3 linked regions of the Saccharomyces cerevisiae S288C genome follow. The gene in region 1 interacts genetically with each later gene. Each region holds a gene or a part of one and is shown in the gene's direction. Other genes may lie near its edges. The genes, in order: BEM3, HRI1 and CBT1.

The links.
Region 2: mutations in BEM3 (region 1) and HRI1 together harm fitness more than expected from each alone (negative genetic interaction), as found in Saccharomyces cerevisiae (2 studies listed by BioGRID).
Region 3: mutations in BEM3 (region 1) and CBT1 together harm fitness more than expected from each alone (negative genetic interaction), as found in Saccharomyces cerevisiae (2 studies listed by BioGRID).

Annotation. Positions count from the first base shown.
Region 1 is NC_001148.4:330,223-341,029, reverse strand, and holds BEM3 (GTPase-activating protein BEM3), read left to right. Parts: upstream 1-5,543; coding exon 5,544-8,930; downstream 8,931-10,807. Other genes in the region: CAR1 (arginase), read right to left, coding at 85-1,086; PEX25 (Pex25p), read left to right, coding at 2,410-3,594; YPL113C (glyoxylate reductase), read left to right, coding at 3,887-5,077; HOS3 (histone deacetylase), read right to left, coding at 9,331-10,807. UniProt on the Saccharomyces cerevisiae protein: GTPase-activating protein (GAP) for CDC42 and less efficiently for RHO1. Negative regulator of the pheromone-response pathway through the STE20 protein kinase.
Region 2 is NC_001144.5:726,188-736,501, forward strand, and holds HRI1 (Hri1p), read left to right. Parts: upstream 1-4,637; coding exon 4,638-5,372; downstream 5,373-10,314. Other genes in the region: ECM38 (gamma-glutamyltransferase), read left to right, coding at 1-1,864; EXG1 (glucan 1,3-beta-glucosidase), read left to right, coding at 2,768-4,114; YLR302C (uncharacterized protein), read right to left, coding at 6,004-6,366; bifunctional cysteine synthase/O-acetylhomoserine aminocarboxypropyltransferase MET17, read left to right, coding at 6,355-7,689; aconitate hydratase ACO1, read right to left, coding at 9,025-10,314. UniProt on the Saccharomyces cerevisiae protein: Unknown. Non essential.
Region 3 is NC_001143.9:38,395-48,472, forward strand, and holds CBT1 (Cbt1p), read left to right. Parts: upstream 1-8,762; coding exon 8,763-9,578; downstream 9,579-10,078. Other genes in the region: E1 ubiquitin-activating protein UBA1, read left to right, coding at 769-3,843; ATP-binding cassette a-factor transporter STE6, read right to left, coding at 4,029-7,901; ER membrane complex subunit EMC3, read left to right, coding at 9,800-10,078. UniProt on the Saccharomyces cerevisiae protein: Involved in 5'-end processing of mitochondrial COB, 15S rRNA, and RPM1 transcript. May also have a role in 3'-end processing of the COB pre-mRNA.

The DNA of each region.
Region 1 (10,807 bases):
TTTTGTTCGTAAATTTATGTATGCATGTGCTTAACTAAAATAAAAAGAGAATGCTTATTTTGATAAAAGGGATGATGATATAAACTACAATAAGGTTTCACCCAATGCACACCTTGCAATGGCGCAACCTGCAGAGATGGTGTTTGAAACATGGATATCATGAATAGCCAGATCAGGGTTACATTCAACAACGTCTAGCGCAATTAAATTACCGGATTCGGCCAATCTTTCCACCAAGAAAAGACCTTCTCTCAAGGTCAACCCACCTCTCACTGGAGTACCTGTAGCAGGAATGTATAATGGGTCTACACCATCGACGTCATAGGAGCACATAATGGGACCTTCACCGTTTGTTTCTGGGTGCACGGCTTTCATTGCCATTTCAATGACAGCGTTGATGCCGTATTTGTCAACGTGGTACATGGAAAAGGCGGCGATACCCAGATCTTTCAAGATTTTCTTTTCTCCGGCATCAACATCTCTCAACCCAATATACGCGATCTTTTTTGGGCTCAAGTTGCCTGGAACCCATTTGAGCGACTCGGGACAATGTGGGACATCCTTGTTCAAACCCATTAGGAATGACACGGGACAGCCGTGCAAGTTTCCAGAGGGGGTGCTTTCTATGGTGTTTATATCAGCGTGGGCGTCTATCCATAAAAGACCAGCATCGGGGTATTTGTCCAAAACCGCGGATACAGTACCAATGGCTATTGAATGATCACCACCCAAGGTCAAGGGGAATCTGTTCGCCTGGACCACTTTCGACACGGAGTTGTACACCAACTTGGTGGCTTCACCAACCAAATCTGCTCTTTTAGCCTTGACACCGTCTATCATAACAGAGGAACCCCCAGTTGTGGAGTCCTTCTCCATTTTCAACTTTCCCACAAATTGGGCCTCGTCCATTGAGGGCTCTAATTCCGTAGACCAGCCCAAATCCTCTATGCTTGTTTGCAGACCATGCTTAAGCATGTATTTAGGGCCCTTCTCGACACCAAGCTTACCCTGACCGCCGCTGAATGGAGCCAGAACGATGGACAATTCGCGATTTTTGTAGTAGTTGTAATGAGGTCCTGTTTCCATCTTGATAGTAGTTATTGTTATTGATATAGTTGTTGTTGTTGTTTCTGCTAACTTTGAGAAAACATATACAGACCAAGAGAAGAGAAACAGTCTTAGATCTTGATAGAAAGTGGGCCGCAAGCTCTGCTTATATACTCTTTAGACCCCTCGGCGGCTACCGCTAAGTGAAAAATTCAGCGAGCGGCGATGCGCTGTTGATTGCCATTAGCAGCACGGTGCTTTGCGAAGGGCAAGAGCTAGAGACTATTCGCACTAGCCGATATTTTCGCGGCGTCTCGGCTTCTTGTAAGGGATAGAAAAAAACTGTTAATGGAAGGAGCAATCAAAGGGCGGGGATCGCGGGCGACGGTGCGGCATCGAAAAAGTGAAGAACCAGTAAAAATAGAGGTGGGGTTTATCAGTGTTGATATCTAAGTTTATGATAAACATTGATGAGTCAGGGATTGCACCCGTAGTTCATCCGTATGATGTGATGTTGTTTGTTTTTGTTTCATGTAAGGTTGCTAGAATAGGGTCCTGTCAGACAGTATGCGTAGCTTTACCATCATTTCGCCGCTATATGTGAAGGGCCGTAAATTGGATATACGGTATGTAAAAATCAGCGGAATATTATGATGAGAAGTGAGAAAATTGAAGTCAGTAATCTTGGATATTCAGAACTGTCAATCCTCAGTTTGGCCAATTTTATTTAATTTGTTAATAGCAGAACTTACCGGGCGGTCCAGTTTTGCCTACACGGTTTGGTATAAAGTTTAAAAAGCATATATACGAGCTAGATGAAGTATCCAATAGAGTTTTTCTCACGATGGTATTGGAATAGCTTCCTTGAAAGGTAACTACATACAGTGTCGAGGAAAAATAGACAATTACTTAAAGGAGTAAATGTTACTATACCTGAAAGAAATTAAGAGTCGCCATGCGTAGCAGTAATCACAACCGACATCGGGGAAGAGTGAGGGGAGCAAATTGGATGTAAATATTTTGGTGAATTTGCTCGGTACGCGCTAAACTCACATGATTTAGCAGCGCCGTGGCGCAGTGGAAGCGCGCAGGGCTCATAACCCTGATGTCCTCGGATCGAAACCGAGCGGCGCTAAATTTATTTTTTTCTTTTTACTCTTCATTTTTTTTCCAGGTCGGTGATAGTATATGAAATTCCGGTGGGATTGGGCTTATTATTTCAGGTTATATAATTTTTGAAATACGTTTTTCTTCTTTCTTCTCAGAATCATCGGTAATTTGTATGCTGGAGAAAGTAACAAATAGAGTCGATATCCTCAACTTCCCTGTAAGTCTTCACCTATAGAAACTGGTCGTAAAACAATGAGTCAGTTTGGCACGACAGATATCGTTTCCGGTTCAGAAACACCACCTTATTCTGGGGCAAGTTACCAGGACGCCCAGGATGACAATACCCATCCACATTCATCAGACGCCGGTGCAGAGAAGTTCAGTGCAGGCAGTGGAAGCGAGTCGCATACTGAATCCTCGAGAAGTGATGATGAGGATTCTCAAGCAAAAACAAAGATGGTGGATAATATTACCATCTTAAAATATATATTGGATTCTCTATCTGGTAGAGACAAATTAGCCAAAATTATCAAATACGCTCTGGATATATTAAAACTGTTTATCGAAAAGTCTAAGCGAAATTTAACTGTTTTGGACCCTTCCGTATTAACGTACTATACCAAGATTTTGAAAAATCTGACTGTAAAAGTCGCACTAAGGCATCCAATCACGGTAATTAAAGTACTTCTCCTGTCTCTTTTGAGAAATTTTGACAAGAAAATTGATTTTATCAGTCAACAATTAAGTACTTTTAGATATATTTTAAGGTTTGGCGGCACACCATTCCGAGTGTGCAGTTTCTTGGGGAAATTCAATAAAACCAGAAAGTGCAACTTTCAAATTGACCAAATTAAGAAAATATGGTTTAATGAAGCTTCATTGAGAGAATTTTTGGACTTGTATTATGGTATCTTTGATGAATTAGACTTGCTATACAAATTGAAAATATGGACAAATAAATCATTCTATTCCTTTGTCAGTAGACAAGAGTCTCTTGCATGGCAATACGACATTCTTTTAAGCTTGAAGGACCATTGGCTCAACCTGCAAAGCTTACAGAAGAGACAATTAGAATTGGAAGTGCAACTAAAAGTTCAAAATAACGCGTTACTACTCTCACCCATACTGATGCATCAGGCCCATAAAGACGATGGCTCACAATCGCCAATTAGGAAACAGTTGTTAAATGACCTAAATGTTAATAACGACGCAGAGGTGTTAATACACAAACAACTAAAGGCCATCAAGGATGAAAAGACACTTGTTTATTTAGATATTGCAAGATTATCGTTTGATTGCATGGCTAATACATCAGATATTCTAAATTTAAAAACTCCAAAGGGAACGTATGCCGTTCTGTCCCTGGGATCCGGCTTAACTGGACTGGTTAAACTTTGGATAACAACAAAGAGGTCACTTTGCTCTTCAAAAGATTGATATATAAAAATATGTATACATATAGATATGTACATATATATGTGGCGAATAATGTTTTACCTCTGCATTTGTATTGTTATTTGATTCGTTGAATAAGATAGTTTGGCGCTCGGTTTTTGCTCTTTTTCTTCCGTTTTTATGTCATTGGGGTGGCGGTAGTCATTCCGTTTTACGGTATGTTTATTCTGACACTTTGACGCAGATCTAAAAGGTGGAGTGTGGAGTACAAATAGCTCTCTCTCAAATACAGAAAAATACTTGAGTGTACAAAAGTAGCAACCTTTAAATAACAATGATTACTTCAATTGACATAGCAGATGTAACTTATTCTGCCAAACCAAGAATTTTGGTGCCTTATAAAACCCAATGGGAAGTCGCCAGTCATCTTCCTGAATATCGCAAACTGGCAGAAAGGGTAGAATTCTATAAATATGAGATGTCCACAAAGGATGATTTTGTTAAATTTTTGGAAACTCATAGAATAAACGGCTTTTGGCTCACTGAGGAGTTTTTCACTGTGTTAGGAAACCCTTCGAGTTATATTGAATTCTTCCCCGCATCTTTAAAAGTAATCCTTGTACCATGGGTCGGCTGTGACTTTATTGACGGTAAGTTATTAAGATCGAAAGGTATCACTTTATGCAACATTGGACCACATGCTGCTGACCATGTCACAGAATTGGCTATTTTCCTAGCAATTAGCTGCTTTAGAATGACTTCATTTTGGGAATATTGTTTTAAATACGTGGAAAATGGTAATGTTGAACAGTGTAAGAAATATATCTCTAGTGACTCGTATGAAATTGTTACAGATAGTTACCACGGTCAGGAAATGAAATTTCCCTCTCGAACAGACAAATGCAAGCCTAACAAGGATAGGAAAGTGGTACATTTAGCAGAAAAGTACACGGTTGGCGGGAAAAAAATGGAATCTCCAATGAATAAAAAAGTTCTAATATTGGGGTTTGGCTCCATCGGACAAAATATAGGGTCTAACTTGCACAAAGTGTTCAACATGAGCATTGAATACTACAAAAGGACCGGTCCCGTCCAAAAGAGTCTACTTGATTACAACGCTAAGTACCATTCTGATCTAGATGATCCAAATACTTGGAAGAATGCGGATTTGATCATTTTGGCCTTGCCCAGTACGGCCTCTACAAACAATATTATCAATCGTAAAAGTTTGGCCTGGTGTAAAGATGGTGTCAGGATAGTTAACGTTGGGAGAGGCACATGCATAGATGAAGATGTGCTACTAGACGCTCTTGAATCTGGAAAAGTGGCAAGCTGTGGTCTCGATGTGTTTAAAAATGAGGAAACACGCGTTAAGCAAGAGTTACTTCGCAGATGGGATGTTACAGCTTTGCCACATATCGGCAGCACAGTTGCCGACATGGTCATAAAGCAGACACTCATCACACTCGAGAATGTGCAGGACATATTTGTCGAGGGAGGTGATGGTAAGTATGTGCTCAACTGAACCATTCATTATGTTACAAAGATAGCATTTCAATTAGGATTACATACGTATATGCATTGCTCTTTATACCACAACTCTAAGAATGTCGAAAGTTATATGGCGGCGGTGATGTTGGAAAAAAAACGCGGCCGTTTTATAAAGAACAATAATCGTCTGACTAGGTAAAGTACCAGATAAGAACCGTTTTTATTGCGCGTATTGGTATGTTTTTTAAACGGAATTTTTCAAGATTGTTAAATACATCAACGATATATCCATTTTAATCACCGTTTACCTTTGTGTGTTAGCTTTGTATCTGGAAGTTTTTTCTCTTTTCTTCTTTGTCCTTGCCTTCTACCATTTTGCCTTTTGTTCGAGTTCGTGATTACATCAGGCATATACAACATCACGTTTGTTGAAACACTGGCTGCTAGGAGTATCTGTGTGTATATTCTAGAATAAACTCACACTCAACTAACAGCACGCAATGACAGATAATTTGACCACAACTCATGGTGGTAGTACCACCCTTGAATTGTTGGCGCAGTACAATGATCATAGATCCAAAAAGGACAAATCTATAGAACATATAGAAAAAGGAACATGTTCAGGAAAAGAAAGAAATCCGTCCTATGATGAAATTTTTACGGAAAACATTAAGCTAAAGCTACAAGTCCAAGAATATGAAACTGAAATTGAGAGTTTGGAAAAGGTTATTGATATGTTACAAAAAAACAGAGAAGCTTCCTTAGAAGTTGTGCTTGAGCAAGTTCAAAATGACTCAAGAGATTCATACGTTAACGATCAATCATTTGTGTTACCCCCAAGATCTGCTGAAAGGAAAGCGCATATCAAGAGTCTTAATTTGCCAATACCGACATTGTCCCCTCCATTGCAACAAGGTTCAGACGTTGCACTTGAAACAAGTGTAACGCCTACAGTACCTCAAATAGGTGTTACATCAAATACTTCAATAAGTAGGAAGCATTTACAGAACATGATACTAAACGATGAAATAGAAGCAAATAGTAGCTTCTCATCTCCCAAAATTATCAATAGATCTGTCTCAAGCCCTACAAAAATACATTCAGAACAGTTGGCTAGCCCAGCTGCCTCTGTTACCTATACGACGTCTAGGATAACCATAAAATCACCTAATAAAGGTTCGAAATCTCCATTGCAAGAACGTTTGCGTTCCCCTCAAAATCCTAACAGAATGACGGCTGTTATCAACAACCATTTGCATTCTCCATTAAAGGCCAGTACCTCTAATAATTTAGATGAGCTGACTGAAAGTAAAAGTCAACAACTAACTAATGACGCGATACAAAAAAATGACCGCGTTTATTCTTCTATAACATCCTCTGCATACACTACTGGAACTCCTACTTCAGCAGCCAAAAGTCCATCATCCCTTTTGGAAGTCAAGGAGGGTGAAAACAAGGCTTTGGGTTTCTCTCCAGCATCTAAAGAAAAACTTGACGACTTCACCCAATTACTTGACTCCTCATTTGGCGAAGAGGATCTAGTCAATACGGACAGTAAAGATCCTCTGTCCATAAAATCCACGATTAACGAATCTTTACCCCCACCTCCAGCGCCTCCAACTTTTTTCTCACCTACTTCTAGTGGAAATATAAAAAACTCTACTCCTTTATCAAGCCATTTGGCTTCTCCGGTTATCTTGAATAAAAAGGATGATAATTTTGGTGCTCAAAGTGCAAAAAATTTAAAGAAACCTGTGTTAACTTCATCACTCCCCAATCTTTCTACAAAATTGTCAACAACAAGTCAAAATGCTTCTCTTCCTCCAAATCCTCCCGTGGAAAGTTCATCAAAACAAAAACAACTTGGAGAAACGGCATCCATCCATTCAACCAATACCTTGAATACATTTAGCTCAACACCCCAAGGTTCGTTGAAGACACTTAGAAGACCTCATGCAAGTAGCGTGAGCACCGTGAAGTCTGTGGCCCAAAGTCTTAAGTCGGATATTCCATTATTCGTTCAACCGGAGGATTTTGGCACTATCCAGATTGAAGTACTGAGCACATTGTACAGGGATAATGAAGATGATTTATCCATTTTAATTGCAATCATAGACAGGAAATCCGGTAAGGAGATGTTTAAATTTTCAAAATCTATTCATAAAGTTCGCGAATTAGATGTATATATGAAATCACATGTTCCCGATTTACCATTGCCCACGTTACCTGATAGACAATTATTTCAGACTTTATCACCTACAAAAGTGGATACGCGAAAGAACATATTGAATCAGTATTATACAAGCATATTCAGTGTCCCTGAATTTCCCAAAAATGTTGGTTTAAAAATCGCCCAATTTATTAGTACAGATACAGTAATGACACCTCCAATGATGGATGATAATGTGAAAGACGGATCACTTTTGCTGAGAAGACCAAAGACTCTAACAGGTAATAGTACATGGAGAGTTCGGTACGGTATTTTGCGCGATGATGTTTTACAATTGTTTGACAAAAATCAGTTGACTGAAACTATTAAATTGAGACAATCTTCTATAGAACTTATACCCAATCTCCCTGAAGATAGATTTGGAACGAGAAATGGGTTTTTGATCACTGAGCATAAGAAAAGCGGACTGTCAACCTCAACAAAGTATTATATTTGTACTGAAACGTCGAAGGAACGTGAATTATGGCTTTCTGCGTTTAGTGATTACATTGATCCTTCACAAAGTTTATCGTTATCTAGCTCGAGGAATGCAAACGATACTGATTCTGCATCTCACTTGAGCGCAGGAACACACCATTCTAAATTTGGAAACGCAACTATCTCAGCAACCGATACTCCATCATATGTCACTGATTTGACCCAAGAATATAATAATAATAACAATATTAGTAATAGTAGCAATAACATTGCTAATAGCGATGGTATTGACTCAAACCCATCTTCTCACTCTAACTTCCTAGCAAGTTCAAGCGGGAATGCAGAGGAGGAGAAGGATAGTAGGAGAGCCAAAATGAGAAGTTTATTCCCTTTTAAAAAATTAACCGGCCCGGCGAGTGCAATGAACCATATAGGTATTACAATTTCAAATGATTCGGATTCTCCAACATCTCCTGACTCTATCATTAAGTCACCAAGCAAAAAATTAATGGAAGTATCCTCTTCGTCAAATTCTTCTACGGGTCCACATGTGTCCACTGCAATATTTGGCTCGTCACTAGAAACGTGTTTAAGATTGAGTTCGCATAAGTACCAAAACGTTTACGATTTACCGAGTGTAGTTTATCGTTGCTTAGAGTATCTTTACAAAAACCGTGGTATCCAGGAAGAAGGCATATTTAGACTAAGCGGGTCCAGTACAGTTATCAAAACTTTACAAGAAAGGTTTGATAAAGAGTACGATGTAGATTTATGTCGGTACAATGAAAGTATTGAAGCTAAAGATGATGAGGCATCTCCAAGTCTTTACATTGGTGTGAATACTGTAAGTGGGTTACTAAAGTTGTACTTGAGAAAGTTGCCCCATTTATTATTTGGTGACGAACAATTTTTGTCGTTTAAAAGAGTAGTTGATGAAAATCATAATAATCCTGTTCAAATATCATTGGGGTTTAAGGAACTTATTGAATCTGGCCTAGTTCCTCACGCTAACCTATCGTTGATGTATGCTCTTTTTGAACTGCTGGTAAGGATCAATGAGAATAGTAAGTTTAATAAGATGAATCTAAGAAATTTATGCATCGTGTTTTCCCCAACTCTAAATATTCCAATTAGTATGCTTCAACCATTCATCACTGACTTTGCGTGTATATTTCAGGGTGGTGAACCAGTTAAAGAAGAGGAAAGGGAGAAAGTAGATATACATATTCCTCAGGTTTGATGGTCTAAAATTGTAGAAATATAACGTTGCCAGTAAACCTCCATTGATTTAATGATAGAAAGAGGGCGAGATGTATAGAGGCTTCTTTCTTTCAACGATATATTTGTAATAATAAAAAAATGTCAGGCTGATAAAGCTTATAGAGTGACTGTCTTTTTATTCCTCAAATGTTATTTACAATACCATATAATAAAATTAGTATATTGTCAAATAAAATAAGAGAAAAAAACTAACTTCTTGACCAAATGGTCGAAGAGCTGAGATAAAGAAGGAAAAAAATTAAAATTACTAACTATACAAGGAAATATAAAAATAGAAAAATTGTGTTACTAAATACAAAAAAGTAATATATGCGTCACTTCTTTAGTGGGTTCAAGACAACATTATATATGCATTGGTATCACCATCTTCCACCACTTCTTGTTGTATGTTTTCTTGAAACATGAGAAATCATTGATATATCACTATCGTCATAAGTTGGTGTATTTGCGTTTTGAGGCTGTCTTATGCGATGCGGTTTCGTATTGGAGGGAATTTTATACATTCCATTACCTTGTAGACGGCGTTGGTGCGAGTTTTTCCAATTTTTTTCTTTTAGCTCATGGTCTGAATCTTCATCACCTTTTTTTTCAATTTCTAAGGTCTCCAAATGTCTAGAAATATCATCAATGGTAATATCCTCCACCGTGCGATTGAAAGTTTTGTTCAATTCTTCATCGTAAACGTATTCTTCATCTTCATCCTCACTGGAAAATTCTTGTTGCAAAAACGGAATTTGGGTTTCAGCTGCTCTATTATTTGACGAGAGCTGCTTGACCTTGGTATCGCTTCTAATTTCCCTTTGTTCCTGTTTTTCCGTGCTTCTCGGCTTGTTTTCATGAAGTTCTTTTTCTGGGGAAGCGTTGCTTCTATGAGATCTGATTATTCTTTGAGCAATTGTCGACGTGGATGCTGGTTCGACAGTAGCCTTTAGTAGAGAATTAGAAGGTGCGCTGTTAACTGCGTCTTTAAAAATGATATCATCGAATTCCGGTATCATTGCTCGTCCCAGCCTGATAACTTCTTCTGCCCATATTCTTATGACATCTTTTGCTCTTTTTGTCTTATAGGGTTTCCAAGCCGGTTTGCAACCACGAACAATCTCTTTAACGACTTGTTCAGACCCCCATTCTTTAACCCAATCTTGGTTTTGTAAACCGATCAAATGTGCGAAAACACCAGAACATATAGCTTTATCAGAATATCCACCCTCCATTAGAGACAAAACTTTGCCATGACAGTGCATTTGTGCTAATTTCAATGCATCTTTGGTGAACGTTGTATAAAAACTTGTAGGAACGTTGACACTATGCCTTTGCATTGAAGTTTGCTCAAATTCTGATGCATCGAAACCTGCGCTTATGACAACCAAACCTTTGAATGGTCTCCCTTGTTGATTCATTTCTAGTTTTGCGCTCCTGAAAAATTCATCTGCTTTAGCAAATAAAGTTCTATATTTTGTCCTGTATAATACATTGAATTCTTCTTCGGTTGTCCATTTGGATAAGTGAATATTCCAGATGTTTAGGTCATGAGAGTTCATGATACAGGTAGATGCATTTTTAATGTTCTCCTTTGTGGCAAATCCCGACTCTGTTGGAAATGAATTTATATCATGCATAGAAAAATAACCGACTTTGGGAAATTCGGCAAATTTCTTACCAAAATCATCATAAGATGAATCTTCAGGTTCCTCCTCAGGTTTGAAACCCGCACGTTTCCAGCAAATGTCTTGGGTCCCATCACCGTGGTGTAGATCGAAATCAAGCACGACAACATGCGTGACGTTGTAAGTATCATACGCATATTCTATGGCTACATGTGCATTGTTTAACAGA
Region 2 (10,314 bases), on another chromosome or scaffold:
CGCCTCTCAGGAGACTTTGCAGAGAATAAATAATCTCCTTCGAGGGTCTGCCAATCGAGATGTTGACATTATTGCAGAATATTTGAAAAAAGACGACGATGATGATGGCGGCGATAAGGATCACCATAACATCGATATTGACCCTTTACCTCGCCGTCCTAGTTTAACGCCTGATAGGCAACTTCTAAAAGTCGGTTTGCATGGTGCTATAAGTTCAGATTTAGAAGTCTGTAGTAATTTGACTATAAATGAGGTACTCCTGAAATTTCCCGGTTCTAACGCTGCAGACGCTGCAGTAACACAAGCTCTTTGTAAGGGTATGGTGAATTTTTTTAATAGTGGGATTGGAGGTGGTGGCTACGTAGTTTTTTCTGGCAAAGACGATGAAGATCATCTATCCATTGATTTTAGAGAAAAAGCACCCATGGATTCACATAAGTTCATGTTCGAAAACTGCTCTCTATGCTCAAAAATAGGGGGTCTTGCTGTCGGTGTTCCAGGTGAATTGATGGGTCTCTATCGCCTCTTTAAAGAAAGAGGTAGCGGCCAAGTTGATTGGCGTGATCTAATTGAACCAGTCGCAAAGCTGGGAAGCGTGGGTTGGCAAATAGGCGAAGCACTCGGTGCCACTTTAGAACTTTATGAGGATGTTTTCCTGACATTGAAGGAAGATTGGTCGTTTGTATTGAATTCTACCCATGACGGTGTTTTGAAAGAAGGCGATTGGATCAAGAGGCCGGCACTATCTAACATGCTAATGGAACTGGCTAAAAATGGTTCCGTGGCCCCATTTTATGACCCCGATCACTGGATTGCAAAATCCATGATTGATACTGTCGCAAAATACAATGGAATAATGAACTTGCAGGATGTTTCATCGTATGATGTTCATGTTACTAAACCACTGTCCATGAAAATTAGGAAGGGCGCCAATTTCATCCCTGATAACGATATGACCGTATTAACAAGTAGCGGCTCAAGTTCCGGGGCTGCACTACTTGCGGCGTTAAGGATAATGGATAATTTCCAGAATCAAGAAGGGGGCGATTATGAAAAAGAAACTACCTATCATTTGCTTGAAAGCATGAAATGGATGGCAAGCGCAAGAAGCAGGTTAGGCGATTTTGAAGGCGAAGCATTACCTAAGCATATAGAAGAGGTATTGGATCCAGAATGGGCTTTGAAAGCAGTGAAATCAATCAAAAGAAACTCTCAAGACGGAAATTTTAAAACTTTAGAAAACTGGACGCTTTATGATCCGGCATACGATATCAATAACCCGCATGGAACTGCCCACTTCAGTATAGTAGATTCACATGGGAATGCTGTTTCCTTGACAACCACCATCAACTTGTTGTTCGGTTCCTTAGTACACGACCCAAAAACCGGGGTGATCTTCAATAATGAAATGGACGATTTCGCTCAATTCAACAAATCTAATAGTTTTGAATTGGCACCCTCCATATACAACTTTCCCGAGCCCGGGAAAAGACCCCTATCATCCACTGCACCCACTATTGTGCTGTCAGAATTAGGCATCCCAGACCTCGTGGTCGGCGCTTCCGGCGGCTCAAGAATCACTACGAGTGTTTTACAAACAATTGTGAGGACGTACTGGTATAACATGCCTATATTGGAAACGATAGCCTATCCACGTATACACCACCAGTTACTGCCCGACCGCATAGAACTGGAAAGCTTCCCCATGATCGGTAAAGCCGTACTAAGCACTCTCAAGGAAATGGGATATACGATGAAAGAAGTATTTCCCAAGAGCGTAGTTAATGCTATACGCAATGTCAGGGGAGAATGGCATGCGGTGAGTGACTATTGGAGAAAAAGAGGAATCTCCTCCGTATACTAAGATGTGGGGTAAGAATGGTACTGTAATATAGTTCAAGATAATAGTACGTAATGTAGGGAGCCTGCTTCTGTGGTATATAAATAAATACTGGGCTTGCGTTTATTTTTAAAGAATCAATATTTACTTTTCATTAACAAAGGGCATACGCCCTTAAAACAAAACAAAAAATCCAGATCATGCGAGCTTTGCCTTTTTCAGTAAGTTTCCCTACCTTGCAGCCGAGACGCGACTTCGGAACGATGCCAGCATACGTATTTACCATTATTAAAAAAATCTGATGGCTTGATACTGCGCGTTTCTTTTTATAGCATTAATACGCACACATACGCGCATTGTTGTTTACTATAAATAAACCGTGGGGACCTGACCCAGTCATCCTCCCTGTGTTTACAGTGCGGTGCACACGAGCCTGAGACAAGCCCGTAACCAGGCGCGTTGCCGCAAATACAGAGGCGCCCCAGACAACACCGCAGTGTGAAGCACTGTCAATTTAAAACCGTGGCTTGCTGGAGATGCCCAGACCAACCCTGTTGGGTTTTTCTCTCGAGCACGCCGTTATAATTTTAGCGTGTTCCGTACCTGTGTGCACATCAATAAGCGGTGTAACAAACTTGAACTTGCCATCTCATATCGTCATATGAGCAGTTGCAGAGAAAGGCACTTTAAATAAAAAGGCGTGGATGATAAAAAATGTATATAAGTTGGATGGATTTTTGGGAAAAAGTAATGTTTTTGCAGACGTTTTAAATACTCCCTCCCTTTTCTTAGTAATTTTTATTATGTATTGACTAAGTCAAAAATAACTATAGAAAACTAAAGTTTACGAGAGGACCCAAAAGTTTTGAATAACACGTGCCTTTGATTTTTTGTTTACTTTCTTTTTCTAGTTAATTACCAACTAAAATGCTTTCGCTTAAAACGTTACTGTGTACGTTGTTGACTGTGTCATCAGTACTCGCTACCCCAGTCCCTGCAAGAGACCCTTCTTCCATTCAATTTGTTCATGAGGAGAACAAGAAAAGATACTACGATTATGACCACGGTTCCCTCGGAGAACCAATCCGTGGTGTCAACATTGGTGGTTGGTTACTTCTTGAACCATACATTACTCCATCTTTGTTCGAGGCTTTCCGTACAAATGATGACAACGACGAAGGAATTCCTGTCGACGAATATCACTTCTGTCAATATTTAGGTAAGGATTTGGCTAAAAGCCGTTTACAGAGCCATTGGTCTACTTTCTACCAAGAACAAGATTTCGCTAATATTGCTTCCCAAGGTTTCAACCTTGTCAGAATTCCTATCGGTTACTGGGCTTTCCAAACTTTGGACGATGATCCTTATGTTAGCGGCCTACAGGAATCTTACCTAGACCAAGCCATCGGTTGGGCTAGAAACAACAGCTTGAAAGTTTGGGTTGATTTGCATGGTGCCGCTGGTTCGCAGAACGGGTTTGATAACTCTGGTTTGAGAGATTCATACAAGTTTTTGGAAGACAGCAATTTGGCCGTTACTACAAATGTCTTGAACTACATATTGAAAAAATACTCTGCGGAGGAATACTTGGACACTGTTATTGGTATCGAATTGATTAATGAGCCATTGGGTCCTGTTCTAGACATGGATAAAATGAAGAATGACTACTTGGCACCTGCTTACGAATACTTGAGAAACAACATCAAGAGTGACCAAGTTATCATCATCCATGACGCTTTCCAACCATACAATTATTGGGATGACTTCATGACTGAAAACGATGGCTACTGGGGTGTCACTATCGACCATCATCACTACCAAGTCTTTGCTTCTGATCAATTGGAAAGATCCATTGATGAACATATTAAAGTAGCTTGTGAATGGGGTACCGGAGTTTTGAATGAATCCCACTGGACTGTTTGTGGTGAGTTTGCTGCCGCTTTGACTGATTGTACAAAATGGTTGAATAGTGTTGGCTTCGGCGCTAGATACGACGGTTCTTGGGTCAATGGTGACCAAACATCTTCTTACATTGGCTCTTGTGCTAACAACGATGATATAGCTTACTGGTCTGACGAAAGAAAGGAAAACACAAGACGTTATGTGGAGGCACAACTAGATGCCTTTGAAATGAGAGGGGGTTGGATTATCTGGTGTTACAAGACAGAATCTAGTTTGGAATGGGATGCTCAAAGATTGATGTTCAATGGTTTATTCCCTCAACCATTGACTGACAGAAAGTATCCAAACCAATGTGGCACAATTTCTAACTAAGTCGCCCTCAGTCCGCTCATTTTAGCTGAATTTTCTAATGTTATTTTTCATCAGCAAAACTTAACAGAACGTTAATTTATCTACCCCTTTTAGTTCATTATCTCTTTTTTATCCAACATTTTACAGAGATCTCTCACTTAAGTCTAAGTAAAGACATTATTTTATATGGTACACTTATAGAATATACGATAATAATAATAAAAACTATGTAACATAACCTTCAGAATTTAATATTAGTTTCCTTTTTACCTCATTGCACTAATAAAAAAATTCTACAGAATCTCCGAAAAAGAAAATCCAGCTTACTCTTTTTGTTTTCTTCTTCACACGTGAGCTTTTCCGCCGGCATACGTTCCGTTCCGTGTCGTCTTGCATAAAATTTCCGAATCACATGTTCGTAAAACAACCGGAAGTGCCCCGAATATAAAGTCAATTCTCACCGCTGTTGTAACTGGAGCTTTAAGGTGTTATCTAAGGAAGGATAAAAGAACTTAAACAACAACAAACAAAAAATTAAGTTACAATGCCAGCATTATTAAAAAGATTATTGTTTCAAGTGGGTCCTCATCCAAACGAAAGAACATTCACCTTATCCTCTGTTTCAACTGATGGGCACTATATTTCCTTGAGACCATTTGTTAAGCCAAGCGGTGATGAGTTATCTTTTCCTTTCGAATGGGCCTTTGCCGGTACAAACGAAACAGTTAAAGCTAATGATCAAGGAAACGGTGTCGTTACTCAAGATTTCAATTTCTGGTTGGATACAAATGTGTACTTGAACGTTCCAAACACCCATCGTGGCGAAGTGAACACCACTTGGAAAAATTGGGATTCTGGTTGTGTCGAGGAAACAGGCGCTGTTTACCCATTCGGTGCCGACAAAGAAAGCGTCTCTTTCAGAGAATTGTGGCAACCAGTTGACCCATCAAGAGAAGATCTAGTCATCGTCTCACCAAACAATGAGAAGTTCTCGTCGAATGCTAGGTCAATTGTCCTCAAAGTTACTGACGAAGCTTATGATGGTTTGGTTATTGTTATTGGTAGATGGATTCAAGGGTTTTTGTCCCAAAAGAATAATAACACTATTGAAGGCTTGAACTTCATCAGATTACTTGAAAAAGATTCAGGTAAATCTGAGTTCTTATTAAGCTACGGTAAGGAAGTAAACAAAATTCCACAAAGCTACGAAAATTTGAAGAAAGGTTCCACTGTAACCAGCAATGGGTTGAACTGGGAAGTTATTGAATATCACGCTTAATAAAGGAGAATAAATCGTTTTCTACTTTCTTCTGCTGCTATAATAAGCACCTATGGGATCTATATAGTATTTTTATAACGATAGACTTTATAAAAGAAAATACCTAAGTGAAAATTTGGTGAATTTTGAGATAATTGTTGGGATTCCATTTTTAATAAGGCAATAATATTAGGTATGTAGAATATACTAGAAGTTCTCCTCGAGGATTTAGGAATCCATAAAAGGGAATCTGCAATTCTACACAATTCTATAAATATTATTATCATCGTTTTATATGTTAATATTCATTGATCCTATTACATTATCAATCCTTGCGTTTCAGCTTCCACTAATTTAGATGACTATTTCTCATCATTTGCGTCATCTTCTAACACCGTATATGATAATATACTAGTAACGTAAATACTAGTTAGTAGATGATAGTTGATTTTTATTCCAACACTAAGAAATAATTTCGCCATTTCTTGAATGTATTTAAAGATATTTAATGCTATAATAGACATTTAAATCCAATTCTTCCAACATACAATGGGAGTTTGGCCGAGTGGTTTAAGGCGTCAGATTTAGGTGGATTTAACCTCTAAAATCTCTGATATCTTCGGATGCAAGGGTTCGAATCCCTTAGCTCTCATTATTTTTTGCTTTTTCTCTTGAGGTCACATGATCGCAAAATGGCAAATGGCACGTGAAGCTGTCGATATTGGGGAACTGTGGTGGTTGGCAAATGACTAATTAAGTTAGTCAAGGCGCCATCCTCATGAAAACTGTGTAACATAATAACCGAAGTGTCGAAAAGGTGGCACCTTGTCCAATTGAACACGCTCGATGAAAAAAATAAGATATATATAAGGTTAAGTAAAGCGTCTGTTAGAAAGGAAGTTTTTCCTTTTTCTTGCTCTCTTGTCTTTTCATCTACTATTTCCTTCGTGTAATACAGGGTCGTCAGATACATAGATACAATTCTATTACCCCCATCCATACAATGCCATCTCATTTCGATACTGTTCAACTACACGCCGGCCAAGAGAACCCTGGTGACAATGCTCACAGATCCAGAGCTGTACCAATTTACGCCACCACTTCTTATGTTTTCGAAAACTCTAAGCATGGTTCGCAATTGTTTGGTCTAGAAGTTCCAGGTTACGTCTATTCCCGTTTCCAAAACCCAACCAGTAATGTTTTGGAAGAAAGAATTGCTGCTTTAGAAGGTGGTGCTGCTGCTTTGGCTGTTTCCTCCGGTCAAGCCGCTCAAACCCTTGCCATCCAAGGTTTGGCACACACTGGTGACAACATCGTTTCCACTTCTTACTTATACGGTGGTACTTATAACCAGTTCAAAATCTCGTTCAAAAGATTTGGTATCGAGGCTAGATTTGTTGAAGGTGACAATCCAGAAGAATTCGAAAAGGTCTTTGATGAAAGAACCAAGGCTGTTTATTTGGAAACCATTGGTAATCCAAAGTACAATGTTCCGGATTTTGAAAAAATTGTTGCAATTGCTCACAAACACGGTATTCCAGTTGTCGTTGACAACACATTTGGTGCCGGTGGTTACTTCTGTCAGCCAATTAAATACGGTGCTGATATTGTAACACATTCTGCTACCAAATGGATTGGTGGTCATGGTACTACTATCGGTGGTATTATTGTTGACTCTGGTAAGTTCCCATGGAAGGACTACCCAGAAAAGTTCCCTCAATTCTCTCAACCTGCCGAAGGATATCACGGTACTATCTACAATGAAGCCTACGGTAACTTGGCATACATCGTTCATGTTAGAACTGAACTATTAAGAGATTTGGGTCCATTGATGAACCCATTTGCCTCTTTCTTGCTACTACAAGGTGTTGAAACATTATCTTTGAGAGCTGAAAGACACGGTGAAAATGCATTGAAGTTAGCCAAATGGTTAGAACAATCCCCATACGTATCTTGGGTTTCATACCCTGGTTTAGCATCTCATTCTCATCATGAAAATGCTAAGAAGTATCTATCTAACGGTTTCGGTGGTGTCTTATCTTTCGGTGTAAAAGACTTACCAAATGCCGACAAGGAAACTGACCCATTCAAACTTTCTGGTGCTCAAGTTGTTGACAATTTAAAGCTTGCCTCTAACTTGGCCAATGTTGGTGATGCCAAGACCTTAGTCATTGCTCCATACTTCACTACCCACAAACAATTAAATGACAAAGAAAAGTTGGCATCTGGTGTTACCAAGGACTTAATTCGTGTCTCTGTTGGTATCGAATTTATTGATGACATTATTGCAGACTTCCAGCAATCTTTTGAAACTGTTTTCGCTGGCCAAAAACCATGAGTGTGCGTAATGAGTTGTAAAATTATGTATAAACCTACTTTCTCTCACAAGTACTATACTTTTATAAAACGAACTTTATTGAAATGAATATCCTTTTTTTCCCTTGTTACATGTCGTGACTCGTACTTTGAACCTAAATTGTTCTAACATCAAAGAACAGTGTTAATTCGCAGTCGAGAAGAAAAATATGGTGAACAAGACTCATCTACTTCATGAGACTACTTTACGCCTCCTATAAAGCTGTCACACTGGATAAATTTATTGTAGGACCAAGTTACAAAAGAGGATGATGGAGGTTTCTTTACAATAAAGAAGCACATGTGTGTTAACGTTTTTAGTATTTGCTTGTTATGTAAATCAGGAAAACTTCGCGGGATTTGGTTGGATGCTACTTTCCATACAATAAATATTATAGATCTAAAAAGCCAAATTACAAGTAAAGATTAGTAAAGCTGTTGGAATTCCATCGTTGATAAAAATGTTAGTTATTAAATATAAAAGTCAGAATAGGTGAACTTGGATTTAATTGTTGGCATTTCGTTGCTGCTAGAGGCCATAATATTAGATAGCCAGGACATACTAGTTCTCCTCGTGGTATAGGAATCCATAAAATGGAATTGGTGATTCTATGTGATATATTCACATTCTTACTACATTATCAATCCTTGCACTTCAGCTTCCTCTAACCTCGATGACATCTTCTCATAACTTATGTCATCATCTAACGCCGTCTATTATAATATATTGATAGTATAAGTATTAGTTGATAGACAATAGTGGATTTTTATTCCAACAGTGTCTTTGTTCGTCTCAGATATAGTCGGATTGCCCTTTTAAGCAATCAATAGTGTTTTATTTGCAACAATGTCGTCATAGTTTAATATGTCCTATAAGATGTTAACTTGCTCAACATTCAACAAAGTTTGGTCTCTTGGCCCAGTTGGTTAAGGCACCGTGCTAATAACGCGGGGATCAGCGGTTCGATCCCGCTAGAGACCATTTATTTTTAAATTCGACCGTCTGACAGACGGTGCACTTATTACTTAATTTTTTTTTTTTTTTAATCCTCGTTAAACTGAGTACATAATCAGCAACAATATAATATAAAAGTTTTGCTTTTTTATGTACGTACAATAGGGGTACTTAAATAAATAAATAAACAATAAAACAATCAATAAATAAATAATATACGATCATAAATTACGAGATATATTTCATAGTCTTGACTTCTCCAGCCGAACGTCATTAAATTTAAGGCAGAAAAGATAAACAAGGGTACGGTGTACAGAAGACAAAATAAATAATAACCTTTAAAAGATTATAACAATGTTTTCATTATTTCTTCTCATCGGCCTTAATTTTATTTAAGGCAGAACCATATTTGAACCATTCAATTTGCTCATCGTTGAAAGTATGGGTCAACACAGCATCCCATGGCTTACCATTCTTTGGATGAACTCTCATTGTTACAGGCTTACCTGGAGCCAATTCAGCTAGACCCAGAATATCGATTCTGTCATCAGGGTTGATCTTGTCATAGTCAGCTGGGTTCTTGAAGTTCAATGGCAATAGACCTTGTTTTTTCAAGTTAGTTTCATGGATACGAGCGAAAGACTTTGTGATGATAGCGAAACCGCCCAAGAATCTTGGTTCCAAAGCAGCGTGTTCACGAGAGGAACCTTCACCAAAGTTTTCATCACCAATAACAACCCACTTGATACCTTGGTCTCTGTAATCTCTAGCAGTGTCTGGAACACCTTTGTATTCACCAGTATATACATTTTTAACACAGTTAGCCTTCTTGTTTTCAGCATTAATAGCACCAATCATATAGTTATTAGAAATGTTTTCTAAATGACCTCTGTATTTCAACCATGGACCAGCCATAGAAATATGATCAGTAGTTGTCTTACCGACGGCCTTAATCAAGATTGGCATGTCTTTAGCATCCTTACCATCCCAAGGTTTGAATGGTTTCAACAGTTGTAGACGGTCTGAAGTTGGAGAAACTTTAACTTCAACGGTGCTACGGTCTGCAGGTGGAGCTTGGTAAGTGTTCTCACCAGCATCATAACCTCTTTGAGGCAAACCATCACCATGTGGTGGTTTCAACATGAACTCATTACCATCCTTGTCCTTTAATTTGTCTGTTAGAGGGTTGAATCTCAAATCACCCGCAATGGCGAACGCAGTTACTAATTCTGGAGATGCAACAAAAGCATGAGTTTGTGGGTTACCATCATTTCTAGAAGTGAAATTTCTGTTGTAAGAGGAAACGATAGTATTCTTGTCACCTTTCTTGATATCTCTACGATCCCATTGACCAATACATGGGCCACAGGCGTTTGCCAAAACGATACCACCAAATTCTTTGAAGGTTTCTAATTGGCCATCACGTTCAATAGTGGCTCTGATTTGTTCAGAACCTGGAGTAACAGTGAAAATGGTCTTGGATTTCAAACCATGAGCAGCAGCATCCTTGACAATGGATGCTGAACGAGACATATCTTCATAAGAGGAATTGGTACAAGAACCGATCAAACCGACTCTGACATCCAATGGCCAGTTATTAGCAACAGCAACTTCCTTCATCTTAGAAACTGGAGTAGCCAAATCGGGGGTAAA
Region 3 (10,078 bases), on another chromosome or scaffold:
ATACTTATATCGACAAGCTAAGCGCAAATACTACTTTGTGGTACATCATCAGCATTGCTTTCGAGAAAACAGCATTTAAAATCAGCCATTTGCTGCGCTTTCTTTAAGCCCTAACAGAAAATAGTTCAAAAAGGCCTATAAGAAGCAAAAAAAGTGAAAAATACGAAAAAATACTCCAGCGGAGGAGTATAAAAGGGAGGAAAATACAAAATGTAGTTGTGTTGTTACGCATCTCAAAGAAGAAAGAAGAAGAAGAAGAAGAGGACGTCGCACTTGCAAGCAAAAACAGCGACTGGCGCGAGAACAACAAACACTAATGCATGTCTCTGTCCAGCAGGAAAAGCGAGCCTTAGTGTTTCTTATTTTCTCGTTCGCCTCACTAGTTTGTAGTAGGGTGGGAGAAACGATGGAGTGGATTGTATGATGAGGAACCAGATAGGGACAACAGATTCTCAAGTGACGAGGAACATCTTTTAAAGCCCAGTTTTTAGTAGAGCTTAGGGCGCCTTTACTGACTATCCACTCCTTGTTAAGCTATGATCTTGTATTCATGTGATTGTAAATAATATTAGAGCTCTTTCTTGAATTGCCATTACGCTTCCATGCGGCATATTCTCGTGTAGTGTGACAAAAGGTGCGGGTGGCAAATAAAGGTAAAAGAAAATGATCAAAAAGGGCCTTTAAGTAGGATGAGCAACCGCCAATCGCTGGATATAAGCAAACAAAAAGTAAGATTAGTAGCAAAGCAAAGAACATATAACTATAGCTATGAGCAGCAATAATAGTGGTCTCTCTGCCGCCGGAGAAATCGATGAAAGTCTTTATTCTCGTCAACTTTATGTGTTGGGTAAGGAAGCAATGTTGAAAATGCAAACCTCCAACGTATTAATTCTCGGCTTGAAGGGGCTAGGTGTTGAGATAGCGAAGAACGTTGTGTTGGCAGGTGTCAAATCTATGACCGTTTTTGACCCTGAGCCGGTTCAATTGGCAGACTTATCAACCCAATTCTTTTTGACCGAAAAGGATATTGGTCAAAAGAGAGGAGATGTGACCAGAGCCAAATTGGCAGAGTTGAACGCATATGTCCCGGTTAATGTGCTGGATTCCTTAGACGATGTTACCCAATTGAGTCAATTCCAGGTCGTTGTCGCTACGGACACTGTTTCTTTGGAAGATAAGGTGAAAATCAACGAATTTTGCCATTCCTCCGGTATTAGATTCATTTCCTCGGAGACAAGAGGGCTGTTTGGTAACACCTTCGTAGACCTAGGTGACGAGTTCACAGTGTTGGACCCAACGGGTGAAGAACCTCGCACTGGTATGGTTTCAGACATCGAGCCCGATGGAACAGTGACCATGCTAGATGATAACAGACACGGGTTGGAAGACGGAAATTTTGTCAGGTTCTCCGAAGTAGAAGGTCTTGATAAGTTGAATGATGGGACCCTTTTTAAAGTTGAGGTTTTGGGGCCCTTTGCATTCAGAATTGGTTCAGTCAAAGAATATGGCGAGTATAAGAAGGGCGGTATCTTCACCGAAGTCAAAGTACCCCGTAAAATCTCATTCAAGTCTTTGAAACAACAACTGTCCAATCCTGAGTTTGTTTTTTCGGATTTTGCTAAATTTGACAGAGCTGCTCAATTGCATTTGGGATTTCAGGCTTTACATCAGTTTGCCGTTAGACATAATGGTGAACTGCCAAGAACAATGAATGACGAAGACGCCAATGAATTAATCAAGTTGGTCACCGATTTGTCCGTTCAGCAACCGGAGGTTCTGGGTGAAGGTGTAGATGTTAATGAAGATTTAATCAAAGAGCTTTCCTATCAGGCAAGAGGTGACATACCGGGTGTCGTAGCATTTTTCGGTGGCCTTGTGGCACAAGAAGTGTTAAAAGCATGTTCTGGTAAATTTACTCCGCTAAAGCAATTTATGTACTTTGATTCCTTGGAATCATTGCCAGATCCTAAAAACTTCCCAAGAAATGAGAAGACTACTCAGCCAGTAAACTCTCGTTACGATAATCAAATCGCGGTTTTCGGTTTGGATTTTCAGAAAAAGATTGCCAATTCAAAGGTCTTTCTTGTCGGATCTGGTGCCATTGGTTGTGAGATGTTGAAAAATTGGGCACTTTTGGGGCTTGGTTCTGGCTCCGACGGTTACATCGTTGTTACGGATAACGATTCGATCGAAAAGTCCAACTTAAACCGTCAGTTCTTGTTTAGACCAAAGGATGTCGGAAAGAACAAATCTGAAGTAGCGGCAGAGGCCGTTTGTGCTATGAACCCCGATTTGAAGGGCAAGATAAATGCTAAAATTGATAAAGTGGGGCCAGAAACTGAGGAAATATTTAATGACTCCTTTTGGGAAAGCCTGGATTTTGTCACCAACGCTCTAGACAATGTCGACGCAAGAACATACGTAGATCGCCGTTGTGTGTTTTATAGAAAACCACTGTTAGAATCTGGTACCCTAGGTACTAAAGGTAATACTCAAGTCATCATTCCAAGATTGACTGAATCATACTCTTCTTCTAGAGACCCACCAGAAAAGTCTATCCCATTGTGTACCCTACGTTCTTTCCCAAACAAGATTGATCACACCATTGCCTGGGCCAAATCTCTTTTCCAAGGTTACTTCACTGATTCCGCCGAAAACGTTAATATGTACTTGACACAACCGAATTTCGTTGAGCAAACACTAAAGCAAAGCGGGGATGTCAAGGGAGTTCTAGAATCCATCTCAGATTCTCTATCTAGTAAACCACACAATTTTGAAGATTGTATCAAATGGGCAAGGTTAGAATTTGAAAAAAAATTCAACCATGATATCAAGCAGTTACTGTTCAACTTCCCCAAGGATGCCAAGACTTCCAACGGTGAACCATTTTGGTCCGGTGCTAAGCGTGCTCCAACACCATTAGAGTTTGATATTTACAATAACGATCACTTCCATTTTGTCGTAGCAGGTGCTAGTTTACGCGCTTATAATTATGGTATTAAAAGTGATGACTCTAATTCTAAACCCAACGTGGACGAGTATAAGTCCGTCATCGATCATATGATAATTCCAGAATTTACTCCAAATGCCAATTTGAAAATTCAAGTTAATGACGATGATCCGGATCCAAATGCCAACGCGGCTAATGGCTCAGATGAAATTGATCAGCTGGTATCATCCCTACCAGATCCTTCTACTTTGGCTGGCTTTAAACTGGAGCCTGTAGATTTCGAGAAAGACGATGACACTAATCATCATATTGAATTTATAACGGCTTGTTCTAACTGTAGAGCTCAAAACTACTTCATCGAAACTGCTGATCGCCAAAAGACCAAATTCATAGCTGGCCGTATTATTCCTGCCATCGCAACAACCACTTCTTTGGTTACTGGTTTGGTCAATTTGGAATTATATAAACTGATTGACAACAAGACAGATATTGAGCAATATAAGAATGGCTTTGTTAATTTAGCTTTGCCATTTTTCGGTTTTTCGGAACCAATTGCTTCACCAAAGGGAGAATATAACAACAAGAAATATGATAAAATTTGGGATAGATTTGATATCAAGGGAGATATTAAATTAAGTGATTTAATTGAACATTTTGAAAAAGATGAAGGGTTAGAAATAACAATGCTTTCTTATGGCGTTTCTCTTCTTTATGCCTCATTTTTCCCTCCAAAGAAATTGAAAGAAAGACTAAATCTACCAATAACTCAATTGGTTAAATTAGTGACTAAGAAAGATATTCCGGCACATGTATCTACAATGATTCTCGAAATTTGCGCAGATGACAAGGAAGGAGAGGATGTTGAAGTTCCTTTCATTACCATTCATCTATGAGTAACTAATTAACCAAAATAAAAAAATAAATTAAATATATACATTAAATATGTATATATATATGTATGACTTTTGACAACTTTTTCTTTGGTAAAAACTTATTATTATTATTATTATTATTATTATTAATGTAGTCTCGAATATTTGAGTATGTTTTAGTTTTTTGTTTTATATTTTCTTTGGGTTTAACTGCTTTGGTTGGAAACAATTTGGAATAATTCCCCGCGATTATTATATAAAGTGTCGAAGTTACCTCGCTCAACCACTTTACCATCTTTAAGAACTGCAATCGAGTTACAAGACCTCATCATTTGTTCACTATGCGTTATAACCATTGTTAGTAGAGCAGGTGGACCTTTTTTGACGATCTCATTGATGATAGAGGAGCTGACAGAATCCAAGGCTGAAGTACACTCATCTAAAATCAGAATTTTTGATTTTCTCAGAAGTGCTCTGGCTATGCAAAGCCTTTGCGCTTGTCCACCTGACAGTAAAGTTGTATCAATACGTGTATCCAAGCCCTGAGGTGATGAAATTACAAAGTCATGGATTCCTACGTATTTTAATGCATCATACATTTCAATTTCAAGTATTTCATCTTGTAAACCATAAGTTAGGTTATCTCTGATGGTTCCATTGAATAATAAAGGTTTTTGCTCAACCACTGAAATTTCTTTTCTTAAACTTGTCAAATTCCAGTCATTTACGTCCGTACCGTCTATTTTAATTTTGCCTACTTCACAATTATAAAGTTTTGTTAATAAAAGCACAAGTGTAGACTTTCCTGTGCCTGATTCACCAATGATACCTAACGTCTGTCCGCAAAACATGTCAAAATTCATGTTTTTGTAAACAAAGGCGGTAGGTGCAGATGGATAGGCAAATGTCAAATTTTGAATTGAAACGATTGGTTTTTTTTCTTTGCCATGGTAGGTGTGACCAGCTATTCCCACTGTTCTAGCATTATTGTTTTCAACCTCTAGGGTATTATGCTTTTCATCAAGAATCCTATAGATCCAACTGGCAGCACGTTGGCCTCTACTTATATCGGGTATCTGACTTACTAGGCTAGTGCATGACATAATAGTGAATAATAACAAAGTGAAAGTCGTAAACATTTCCTTTGAGGTGTACTCGTGAATCATAACCAGCTTTAGGCCATAGTAGTAAATAATAGCTTGGATACACATGACAATCATGTTTGTCATAGATATACCAAATCCTGTGGCAATGGCGCGTTTGGAGGCAATTTGTTGCATTTTTATCTTCAAGTCATGGTAGGTCAATTGAAAATGAAATTCAGCTTGTAAGCACTTAATGGTTTTAATGTTAGTGACAATCTGGTACAGGCAGTTTTCTAACTGAGCAACAGATGTCTTATAATCTGTTTCGCATTTTTGTAAAATGCCTCCATATATTGCTGAAAATATAATTATGAGTGGAAACATCGAAATACAAACCAAACTTAACTTCCAGCCCGATACTAACGCCCAAATTAGTCCAATCGTTGATACGGTAACGAAACTAGTCATTGCACTCAAAAATTCAGAGACCAAAGACCTCAAATCTCGCAAATCATTCAAGACTAGAGCAGAAATTTCAGAAGCCTTGTTGTTTTCACCAGAAAACCAGTCCATATTCTTTCTCGTCAGTTTTTCCATAACTTCATTTCTAAGATCCATAACCCAGTATTCACTGCAGCAATCTAATAGGAATCCTTTAGCAAAATTGAAAATACCATCTGCCGCAGCCACACCAAGAACAAGAAGCGACCATTTCGCCAAATAATGTGAAGAGCCAGTTTTTCCATCCGTGGATGGGACAATTCCTTCTAGTAAGAAACTGAATGTGTATGAAAAGACGGGATTTGTGGCGCCTGCGATAAGAGAACATAGCAGTCCCAAGATTAGAATTTTTTTGTATCTTATGCTTTTAATCATTCTTTTGATAATCTGAATAATGCTCAGAAGTTGTGGCCCTGTTGAACTTTCGGTGTTCTTTTGTTGTTTTAGTGCATACCCAATATTTTCCTCTTCAACTTTAACCCTTCTTGTTCTAACGTTCGATCTTTTTTGATAGATTGCTTCGTAAAAGGACAACTGATCTGTCTCATCATATCCCAGATTACTTAAGCATGATCCAAGTTTTGGTGTTTCCAATTGAGAGTTAAAACTTTCCACAGTGTGTATAGATTTTTCTTCAGTCTCTGTATCTACAATAGTTTTCGCATCAGAGTAGTCATTCTGTAGGTGATACCATGTGCTAAATGTAGTGGTCGGATCGGCTAGAAGTTCAGACTGGGTGCCGCTTTCAACAACTTCACCTTCCTTCATTAAATATAAATAGTCATCAGATTCAATTTGGCTCAACTCATGCGTCAATATGATTGTAGTCTTTCCTTTCCTCCAATGCCTAATTGCCTTCATCAACAGGTTGCGATGAACAATATCTAGAGCCGATACAGCTTCGTCTAAGAATAATATTGGAGTATCTCTGATGAATGCACGTGCTATAGCAACTCTTTGTTGTTGCCCGCCACTTAGTGTGACACCCCCAGTCCCAATTAATGTTTCCAGTCCATCGGGAAGGTCTAGAATAAATCTATCCAGAAGAGCCATTTGACAGGCATCTTTGATTAAATGTCTATTTTCATTGGTGCTGCAATCGGCATTTCTTACCGAATCTGTTGAACCTAAAAGAATATTTTTTCTAAGAGTATCATTAAATAGGGTACAACGCTGTTCTACGACGGTGATATTTTCAATTAGCAATTTTTGGTCGATTGTTTGGATATTGTGGCCATTGATAGATATCGATCCATTATAGCCATCGTAGAACCTTAATAATAAGTTGGATAATGTAGATTTACCTGAGCCTGATTTTCCTACTATGAAAGTAAATTGTCCTGCAGAGAAATTTAAACTAACGTTCTTTAAAACTGCTTCCGAAGGTCTGCTTGGATAAGAAAACGAAACATTAGCAAATGTTAGATCACTGGTGGCATAATCTAGTGGAAATTGGTGGGCTACAGTTTTATTTAAAGGATTTCGCTTGGATCCATCTTTTAATAGAGTCATGATTTTTTCCATAGCCACTCCGCCTTTTTGAAGAACAACTATTTGGTGTAATGTATTATTTAAAGTCGAGCCCAGCATAATGCATGAATGGAAGCAAGTGATTACATCGTTAATGTTCAGCTTGCCCTTTTTGATCATTGCGGAACCAAACCAGAATCCCTGTACAAACATAGTCAACGTCAAAAATCTCAAGATCCCAGCGTTTGCAGCAACAAAAAAGCAACTCTTGATGAAGAAAGTGTTACAATTTAGTATGATTTCCTTGAATTTTTTCCTTTCTAGACGTTGTGTACAATATAATCTCACTAATTGAGCGGCATTCATCGACCATGTAAGTAATTGGGCTGCTTTACTCGTTTCAGAATTCTCCTTCTCTGAATATACATGAATCATTCTGGAAAACACCACTGCAAAAAATGTGATTATTGGAGAGCTGCAAAGAATAATTAAAGTTAATGACCAAGAATAGTAGAATGACGTCCCCAGAAGCGCACATATTGCAACTAAATTCTGGAAAGTTATGGCTGATGCCTCTGCGGAGCTTGATCTTAGCTCTTCCACACATCTGTTGATTTGAGTAAAATCTCCTAACAATTTTTCATTATTGTCGTACCATTCCATTGGCTTTTCCTCCAAATATGCCTCCAATATCTGTGACCGTATTCTAAAGCCTTGTCTCTCGCCGATGTGCATCCAACTTGTTAGAGAAAGCCACATTACTGGCACAGAAGCCGCACCAAGTGCCATTACTGCCATTGACCTCTGTACTAGTTGGGAATACAAACCTTGATGTGACCCATTAGCCACGAAAACTGATAGTAGATCGAACACTCTGCCCGTCAGGATAGAAGTAATTGCCGGCACTAGGCCTGTTGCCACGGTACCTATTATCATTATCATTAACAGCCTGTAGTCATTCCGTATGTTCACGTACCTGAAAATGTGATAGTGTTTTGTAGTCTTAAAACTTAAAAAGTTCATGACGTAGCTTGTTCTTTGTTTCCTAGTGGAATTTTCAGCGGCACTTGAAAGCTCTCTGTGTGAACGTAACAACGGGAGATAGTTCAGCCATATCCAGGTTTATAAGCTCTGGTATTTAAATGATGAACGGCAATAATGCAACAGTTTTCATATCTGAAACAATTGTATATGTGCGAAGCAGCGTGTAAATTTCCCTATTAGGTAATTACATGGCAAAAAAAATAAGAAACTATTTTCTTAAAGTACCTTTACCCTTTGTGGAAAACAATAAATTGTATAGTGGCAGAATAGAGAAAAGAAAAAGGAAAGGAACATATTTGTCAGTGCAAGGACCATCATTGTTTGAAAAAAGAGAGGATATTACTAGTAGGTAATAACAGCTATGTCGCGTTATATATATTATATATAAAAATTAAAAAATAGAAAATAAAATTTCAAATGCCCTCTGTGGGAATTGAACCCACGATCCCCGCATTACGAGTGCGATGCCTTACCACTTGGCCAAAAGGGCTGAGTAATTTTTATACCTGCTAAATTTGTGGCTCCGCTATACTTTACAGATTTATCTATTTTGAAGATGATACATTTAGCAAAAATGACCTTAAAAATGAAGCAGGTGCCATTTGCCTATAGCTTGGAAAAGTAGTAATGGTTATTCAAAAAGTTAGCAGCGAGATCTTTTTTCTATCGCGCGTTAAAACGTTTGAACAGATATATATTATTCAGCCACAACTATCTATATATAATATTTCTTCGATTTTTCGTTTTCTCAAGTTTCGTCTTATTGATTGATCAGAAGTTTACTGCGCTTTTGGGTAAAGAAGCATTAAACAAAGGAGAGAGAAATATTGCAAGGAAAAAATGGTGAGCTATGGAAGTCATAGTAGTGAGGTTTCGAAAGTTCTTAAAACGCCGAAGTTTGTGCTTAGGTATGGAAATGTATCCAGCAAACAACGTTTTGCCCTAAAGCGGAAGATAAATTACAAACTACGTGAAAGCAAATATCAAGAATACTTGAATGAATACAACACCTTCGTGCTTTACGACTGGGAAAACAGTGGCGCTGGTAGTCTTGTCGATTCTTCCTACAATCTCCCCTCTTTATGGAAGGAATTCATAACAGAGGGCATATCTAAAGGAGCAATAAACGACAAACTACCGACAGTCTTTATGAAGAGGAAGTTGACAAACTCAGCGTTGGGTCACTGTTTGGGACTTGATTTCCTGACTGATCCGAGCGAGTCAGAACATGAATACAGGTGCATGTTTCAGACAGTTCAGGACATCCCATCTCTCTCGCAACTGATCTTATTCAACAGCATGCCAAACGTTCCAGTAAGATTGAAATTGCATACCATTGGTATAAATATAAATTTCGGCTGCAAACGTTCCCTGATAAGCAACGGTGGTGATCAAGACACTGAAATGAGCGAAGCAGTCTCTTATATCCAGCCTTTATTGGAAGAATCCTCGAGAATGTACCGCAATTTAAACTACTGGAAGCTGTTAAAAATAGCACGAAATAACAAGAAGGATGAACCGTTGGATCAGAGCACGCGTATCAAGTCGCAAGTTAAGCTTTTACTGAGTCAATTGGCGACGAACCGAATTACCTCACCTTCCGTCACGGATCATGGGGGTCACAACTGGCTCATATTCACCAGAAGACGGTTGTAAACGATAAATATGCCATAAAGATCTGCGAACTGTACATATCCATATATAATGCGTATTATTTGGTGACTATAGCACTGGCTTCCGCCATCTCACTAAGAACGAAGAGGTATAATAAAGCATTGTGATGTTAAAGAATGACGATTAACCAGCATTTACAACAACTTCTCTTCAACAGAATAGACAAAACAACAAGCAGTATTCAACAAGCTAGGGCGCCGCAGATGTTATTAGATGACCAGCTGAAGTATTGGGTCCTGTTACCTATTTCGATTGTCATGGTTTTGACGGGTGTACTCAAACAGTACATCATGACACTTATAACGGGAAGCAGTGCAAATGAAGCACAACCAAGGGTAAAGTTAACTGAATGGCAATATCTACAATGGGCACAATTATTGATTGGAAACGGTGGGAACCTGTCTTCCGATGCATTTGCTGCGAAGAAGGAATTTCTAGTTAAGGATCTCACTGAGGAAAGGCACCTAGCCAAGGCCAAGCAG